Diceros bicornis minor: one gene and its partner. The protein of the gene in region 1 interacts with the protein of each later gene in a biochemical or structural test. Links are inferred from orthologs where the notes say so. Each region holds a gene or a part of one and is shown in the gene's direction. Other genes may lie near its edges.

Region 1 (3,749 bases):
CATGGCACGGACATCTTTCCATGCAGGTGCATTAACACTCCTCCTCACCTTTCTCCAAGCTTCATGGAATTCACCACACATGCATACCCCAAGCAGGGTAACTGATCCCCACTGAAGGCACTTCAATTTTTTCCAGTTTCTTGCTATTCCACACCATGCCACAGAGAACTTCCTTGTCATAAATGTTCACTTGCTGGTGCTAGAATTTCTGTAGCAGAGACTCATGGAGATAGGACGGCAGGCACACTGTGATCTCAGTTGTGTCTTAAAGCCTTTGAATAGGAGTTACGCCCACTTTGTTCCCTTGGGTGTGCTTGGTGGAGGGTAAATAGTGCTGTCCCAGGGGGCCCAGCCAGGCACCCCGTTCTGTCCAGCCCTCCCTTGTCCACAACCTTCTTCTGCAGGATGGGAAGGTCCAGACCACTCCAGATCTCTCCCTCTCCAGACCAACACCATGGAGGGACCAGGAAACGCAGTGCACTTGACTGTCGACCAGACCTGAGTTTAAATCGCTGCCCAAGCTCCTTAAACTCTGACTCCACTATCACATCTACAAAAAGGAAATAAACCTCTCAGGGTTGCCAGGGGGATGAAGTAGAAAGCACGGAGTGCTTTGTAAACAACTACACAGAAGTTAGCCGTTATCTTCAGCCGGTGCCTGACTGTTCTTTCCCACGCATCAGACAAAGCCTACTCTGGGCTGCCTACTCATATTTATCTTGTAGAGGGCTGGAAGGAGGGCTCAAAACAAGACAACAAAGCTCACCCTTCTGAGTTTACAATCTGCCTAGTCCCTTGCCTCAGTTTCCTCACTTTTTCTGGACTTGAGCGCCAAGGTAAAGAACCAAACTCTTGGACAACGTCATTCATTCAACAACAAACCACCTACTATATGCCAGTCGCTGTGCTAAGCGCCCGGTGAGCCTCAATTTTCTCAGTGGCAAAATGAATCGTGCTTCTCAACAGAGAAACGATGGGCATCTCGGGCAGGCCAATTCTTTGTGCGGGTCTGTCCTCTGCCCTCTAAAGGACAGGGACTCTACCTTGCCATTGGGACAACCCAATGACGCCCCTGCACAAACGGCCCCTGGGAGGCATTTTCGCCCTCGATGGAGAACCCTCGGCCCACCGTCTCCCATCTGAGGAGCCAGGGAAAGGGGGAGGCCCAAGATGCGCAGGATCTGGACCACGTTTCCGGGGCACAGAGCCCTATGCTGGCCCCAGGATGAGCTGGTCAACATCCTTGGGGCTCTCGGTTCTGACTCCTGAGTTAGAATTTCTCTCTTTGCAGGCAAGATACAACCCAGGAAACTTCAGGTTTCCATTCCCGGTTGAGTCTGGGATCCTGCTGCGGAGGAATGGCGGTGCCCTCGTCCCCTAAGCCCTCGGGATGTGAAGGGTTAACGCAGGTGGCCGCGCAGAAGCCCCCAGCACCGCTAGAGGGACCGCCGCAGCGGCACCGCCGGGCGACTTCGCGGTCACGTGGGGGAGAGGGCGGGACCAAGCAAGAGGCCGACCAATCGGCTGAGCTGCCGGTGGGAGTGCTAGCCAATAGGAGCAAGGAGAGGGGTCCCGGGACTAGAAAGAAACGGCGGCCGAGAGGGGGCTACCGCGACCATGGGGCTTCTGACCATTCTGAAGAAGATGAAGCAGAAAGAGCGGGAGCTGCGGTTGCTGATGCTGTATCCTCCCGGACGCCGCAGCCGCGGGGGTAGCGAGGGCCCCGCCGGGCGGGCGGTGCCAGGCGCCCCCTACCGGGCGCGGGGGCCACGGCCGGCCGGCCCGTACCAACTGCCCAGTGTGCGTCACGCACGTGGGCCCTACCAACCGCTCCTGGCGGGGGGCCGGAAGGGGGCCGTACCACTGGCTCGGGCGGGGGGTCTCCGTTCCCAAGGCCAAGGGTGTGGGCCTGAAGGCCCGCAGTGTAGGGGGGAGGTGGGGCCCGGAGGTGACCCGGACGCCACTGCCCGTCCGTCTGGCCCGAGGAGGGGCCGGTATCCTCCCCGGCTCTGACCTCCTCCCCTCTGTCTGAGGGGGGCCAAGCCCGGCCCCGCCCTCAAGGTCGGAATCCCTGGGGCGTTTGGAACCCGCCCTCCGCCCGGGGGCAGGCGGGTGTGGACTCCGCGGGTCGTTTCGACCGTGGATCGAACTGTCCCTCTCATTGCTGCCGCTCGGCCCGTCGGTGTCCCCGCGGCTGGCGGCCTGTAGGCCCGGGGCCCCGCCGACCTTCTGAGTCCCATTACCAGGCGTCCGCACTGGTTCGCCCTACTCTGTGAGGGACCCGTGGGGGCTCTGCGATCTGAGAGCTGGGCGGGCCTGACCCCGAGCTCCCCTAGCAGGGGAAGGGAGACATTTATGTGCGCAAATAAGTTAAAATAATAGTCACATCGTGTCTTAAAGAGCTCCCAGAAAGGCACAGAATTCACTTATCCGATCAATATTGAGCGCTTACTATGTGCTAGGCGCTGCCCTAGGTGCTGGGGGAAACAGCAAAATAAAAAAATCCTACCTTCATGGACGTTCTATGATGCTGGGGGGAGAAAGATATTAACAAAGCAAATGAGTAAAATATATAGTATGTATGGAATAGAATGCAGTCTAAATAAGCTGGTTAAAGAAGGCCACATTGAGTAAGTGACAGTTGATTAAAACAGAGAGGTGAGGGATGAACCATGTAGGTATGTGGGGAAGATTGTTTAAGCAAAGGGAACAGCACAGGCAAAGGCCTCGAAGGAGGAGCTCAACTGGTGTGTTCAAAGGGACGTCAAGGAGGGCAATGTGGCTGGAGAGAATGGGCAAGGAGAATACTAGAAGATTAGGACAGAGAGGTGGTGGAAGAACCACCTCCTGTAGGGCCTTGTGGTTCATGGCTTTTTCTTTAAGTGCAGTGCAGAGGGGAGGTGTGATCTGAGACCAGCTAGGCCCTTGCTCTAACCCAGGAGAGACAGCCTGGTGGCTTGGGCCAGGATGGAAGCAGTGAGGTGATGGAAGCTGGGGGACATTTTGACAGTAGGGCCCCCAGGAATTACTGCTGGATTGGCTGGGAGTGTGAGAGGGAGAATGAAATCAAGCCTGACTCCTAGGGTTCTGCCCTGAGCAATTAGAAAAAGAGGAGCCACTTGCTGAGATGGCTCCTCTGAGACATCCTAGAAATGTCAGATAGGCAGCTGGATGTAGGGACTGATGTCCAGGGGAGCAGCTGGGTGGGACGTATAAATTTGGGTGTCATCAGCATAAAGATGGTGTATGAAGCCGTGATCCTGGGTGAGAGCACTGAGGATGAGTGTGGACAGAGAAGGGAACCCAGGCTTACCTGGATCAAGAGGTCAGGGAGATGAGGATGGGTGATTTGGGAGGCAGGTGTACAGGCAAGGGCATGTCCTGGAGCAGAGGAAGGGGCAGGCCGCTGTCTCACGTGCTGCTGATGGAGCAGGAAGACGAGGGGTGAGGACTGCCCGGCCACGGGAGGGCTACGTGCGGGTCTTTAGGGGCTGACCTCAGTGAGAGCAATTTCCAGGAAGCAGTGGGAGCCTCACGGGTTCAAGAAAGGGCAAGAGGACAGAAATTGAGAGGGCGAGTATGGACAACGGTTTTTTGTTTTTTTTTTATAATTTTATTTATTTATTTATTTTTCTCCCCAAAGCCCCAGTAGATAGTTGTATGTCATAGCTGCACATCCTTCTAGTTGCTGTATGTGGGACGCGGCCTCAGCATGGCCAGACAAGCGGTGCGCCGGTGTGCGCCTGGGA
Region 2 (3,749 bases), on another chromosome or scaffold:
AAAGACACCAGTACGAGACTGAAAAGATAAGCCACAGACTTGGAAAAGATATTTGCAAATCATGTATCAGACAAAGAACTCCATATCCAGACTATACAAAGAACTACAAATCAGTAAGAAGACAAACAGCGCAATTTAAAAAGTGGGCAAAAGACTTGAACAAGCACTTCACAGAAGAGGATGTTCATATAAGCATATGGAAAGGTGCTCAACACCAGACAATGTAAATAAAAACTATAATGAGATACCACATTTAGCCAAAATGGCTAAAATTAAAAAGACTGACAACACCCAGTATTGACAAAGATAAGAGTCAACCAGAACTCTCTTACACTGCTGGTGGAGGTGAAAATTGGTACAAACATTTTGGAAAACTGGCAATATCTACTATTGCTGATCATATGCACACCGTACAAGCCAGCAACTCCTCTCCTAGAAATGAGTCCACAAGAAGGAACATATAAGAAGCTCATTGCAGCTTTATTAATAAAAGCCAAAAATTGATAACTGATTACCTAAATGCCCATCAACAGTAGAATAGATCAACAGTGCTATATACAGACAATGGAATACTACTCACGAATTTAAAGAAAAACAAGCTACTGCTACATACAACATGGATGAATTTCACAAAAATATTGATGAATGAAAAAAGCCAGACATACTGTACATATTGTATGATTACATTTAAATGAAATTCAAGAACAGACAAAACTGATGTATGGTAACAGAAGTCAGAAGAATGGTTACTGGGATGGGACGATGAAGTACTGATTGGAAAGGGGCACAAGGGGTGCTGGAAATATTCTATATCTTGATTTGGGGGGTGGTGACACAGGTGTATACATATGCAAAAATTGTGCCCTTACTGTATGTGTTATACCTTATTAACAAAAAAATATAAAGATGGGGCTGGCCCGGTGGCACAGCGGTTAAGTGCATGCACTCCGCTTTGGTGGCCCGGGGTTCGCAGGTTCGGATCTGGGGTGCACAACGACGCACCACTTGTCAAGCCATGCTGTGGCAGTATCCCATATAAAGCAGAGGAAAATGGGCATGGATGGTAGCCCAGGGCCTATCTTCCTCAGCAAAAAAGAGGAGGATTGGCATCGGGATGTTAGCTCAGGGCTAGTCTTCCTCACACACACACAAAAAAATGTAAAGATAAAATTTTTTAACATAGAAAAAAAATCCTGTGCATCCTTCAAGTTCAAATGCGACCTCCTCCATCAATAAATGGAATACATCTCTCCATCAGAGCCTCTATAGCATTCTGACGTCCTTTCTTTTATGCCATTTATCACAGTCCACCTTGAATCTCAGTGGAGTCTCCTTATTTCACTAACTAGATGGTTATCTTCCTGGTGGCAATGACCATGCCTTTCAGCTTTTATAGAAAGCCTGGCAAATAACAAAAGCTGAAAAAGCTGTTTGTGGAATTACATGGAAGGAAAAATTGGGTGAGTGCCCAGATGGGTGAGAGAGGGACAGGAAGAGGAAGGAAAGCCTAGGAAAACAGACAGGAGATCTTCCAGGAAACTTGAGCTTACACTACAATTTTACCCAGTTCCTGAAATCACGTTAAATGTCACGTTGAGCAACAAACAAACAAAGAACAAAGCAAAACACCAAGTCCTACCTAGACTGAAGATAAACATCACACTCCTTCATTTGGAGGAAATCCACCAAATAAATGCTTACCTAACCTCTGGGTGTTTCAACCCCGATGGGGAAACTTCACCAGGGAGAAGAATAACCACATAGCCATGCTGCTAAAAATATCGCCACCCTAGTGTGGTGCAAAGAGCCCAGAGAGTGTCAGGAAACTTAGGGCCGAATTCTAACTCTGCCCCAACTTGCTGTGACCCGTGGACAATCTCCTTGCCTCTCTGGGTCTCAGTTTCCTCATATGTAAAACAACAGGGGTTGGATTAGCAAATTCTCTAAAGTCCCTTCCTATACTGATATTCTGAGTACACTATCGATATCTCTCCCGGTCCAACGCAGGAGCACACCAGAAACCCCTGCAAAAAACGTAAAAGGCGCTCCAGACCAACAAACAAGCAAGGTTTGAAGGAGTCATTTTATCTTATTATCTCTCATGGTTTAATCAGTGTTTCTGTTTGTTGTTTGCAGCCTTACCATGATTTGCAGGAGATTTCTGAGTTCCATGTAAACAAAAGTTACCTCTCTGTGGGCTGTCATCTTCTTTTGAGGGTGAAGAGGGTCTTGCCGCCTGGTTTCAAGTCTCCGGATTCAGAAACTACCAAACCTGAGGCACGGTTTATGAATTTGCGCACACTGCGCGGCACACTGGAGTCCAAGTTACAGAGGAATAGAGTGCAGGGAATGCTGGGATTTGTAGTCCCTGGGCCTCTTTGTTGCTTGCTGGGATCTGTGGTCCCCTGGGATTCTGGGAAATGTAGTCTCCGCCACATCTCACGGTGCAACCCGCTGTCATCTCAGAGCCCTTGTGTGCCCAGCAGCGGGAGCAGGCCCCTCGAGCCTCTGCAGATCTAAAATCCTCCACTGGGGAAAACTCTAGGCAACAGCACCGAATGAAAAAAAAAAAAAAAAAATTTGTCCTACGGGACTTCCCCGGGAGGGCCCTTCCCATTGACGCTCATCGTCCCCCCTTGAAGCCGCTGAGTGTTTCCATTGGCTGATCAGGATGCCAATCGCCGAGGCGGGCTTTCCATTGGCTTCGGGGCGGGCGCTCCGAGGCTAGAGGGAAGGAGAAGGAATCAGGAGCGGGAGCTGAGGGGAGAGAGAGGCCGGTCCGGGTCTGGCCGCTGCCGCTGCTCGCCGGAGGTCTCCAGGCCCGGCTGCAGCTCAGTCCTCGGCTCCTGGTCACCGTCTACGAGGCTCCTCCGGGCCAGCGTGGGAGAGCCGCGGGCGGCGGTCGCCGCATCATGTCAGCCAAGGACGACCGGGCCAGGGAGATCCTGAGGGGCTTCAAACTGTATCCGCCTGGGAGCGGGGCGGGGCCGGGAGGACTTGGGAGGCGGCCGCTGGCTGAGGAGACAGGCCGGGGGCGGGGGCCGCGCCAGGTGGGCGCCCGAGGAGAGGGCGGCGGGAGGAGATGGCAGGAGCGGCGTCCCGGGCCCCCGGCGGGACCGGCTCTGGAGGTGGGGAAAGGGGCGTCCTGAGGGAGGAAGGGGTCGTTGACGGGAGCGCCGGGGGGTGCAGGCGGAGGAGCCCCAGAATCGGTCGGGGAGAGGCGCCGGGCGTGGGAAACGGGTGGCAGGGAGGCCAGCTGGCGTCCGAACTCCGGCCCGCACCCAGAAGCCGGGAAGGGGCTGCGGCCCACGGGGAAGGGCCGAGGGGGCGCGGTGGGCTGGCCTCGAAGCCCAGCAGCCTCTTGGGCGGGAAGCCCCCGGCGGGAGCAGGGAAAAGTGACTTGGAGCGAATGACCTTGTGTGGGACAAGTGCAAATGCTTGTGTTAAACTCTCTCGGGTGCCCGCATCCCATACCACCCCCCACCCCACCCCCGCCGTGTTTCTGCAACTTCTCTTCCTCACTTGTGGCTCCTTCCAGGGCTGGAGCAGAGCAAGGTGGGGAGAGAGAAGTCCGAGATCTAACTCTGCCTTGGCCTTTTGAGGCATTGGACGGTCACTTCTTCTCCCCTCAGATCCTCAGTTTTCTTTCCACCAAATGAGGACCCTAAACTTGTGGCTGAGATGCCTTGAGGTGTCTTGGTTTTGCCCTGGGACTCCTGGCAAAGGGATCTTGGCGTGCTCACATGTGT

The links.
Region 2: the proteins of ARL2 (region 1) and PDE6D are reported together in a solved structure, tested with the Homo sapiens proteins (2 studies listed by BioGRID and IntAct, with this or other methods). The link is inferred for Diceros bicornis minor from reciprocal best matches to the Homo sapiens genes ARL2 and PDE6D.

The regions. Positions count from the first base shown.
Region 1 is NC_080770.1:8,121,344-8,125,092, reverse strand, and holds the start of ARL2 (ADP-ribosylation factor-like protein 2), read left to right. Parts: upstream 1-1,566; 5' UTR 1,567-1,617; coding exon 1,618-1,682; intron 1,683-3,749. UniProt on the Homo sapiens protein: Small GTP-binding protein which cycles between an inactive GDP-bound and an active GTP-bound form, and the rate of cycling is regulated by guanine nucleotide exchange factors (GEF) and GTPase-activating proteins (GAP).
Region 2 is NC_080776.1:20,151,960-20,155,708, reverse strand, and holds the start of PDE6D (retinal rod rhodopsin-sensitive cGMP 3',5'-cyclic phosphodiesterase subunit delta), read left to right. Parts: upstream 1-1,472; coding exon 1,473-1,476; intron 1,477-2,187; exon of another isoform or gene 2,188-2,314; intron 2,315-2,670; coding exon 2,671-2,962; intron 2,963-3,749. UniProt on the Homo sapiens protein: Promotes the release of prenylated target proteins from cellular membranes. Modulates the activity of prenylated or palmitoylated Ras family members by regulating their subcellular location.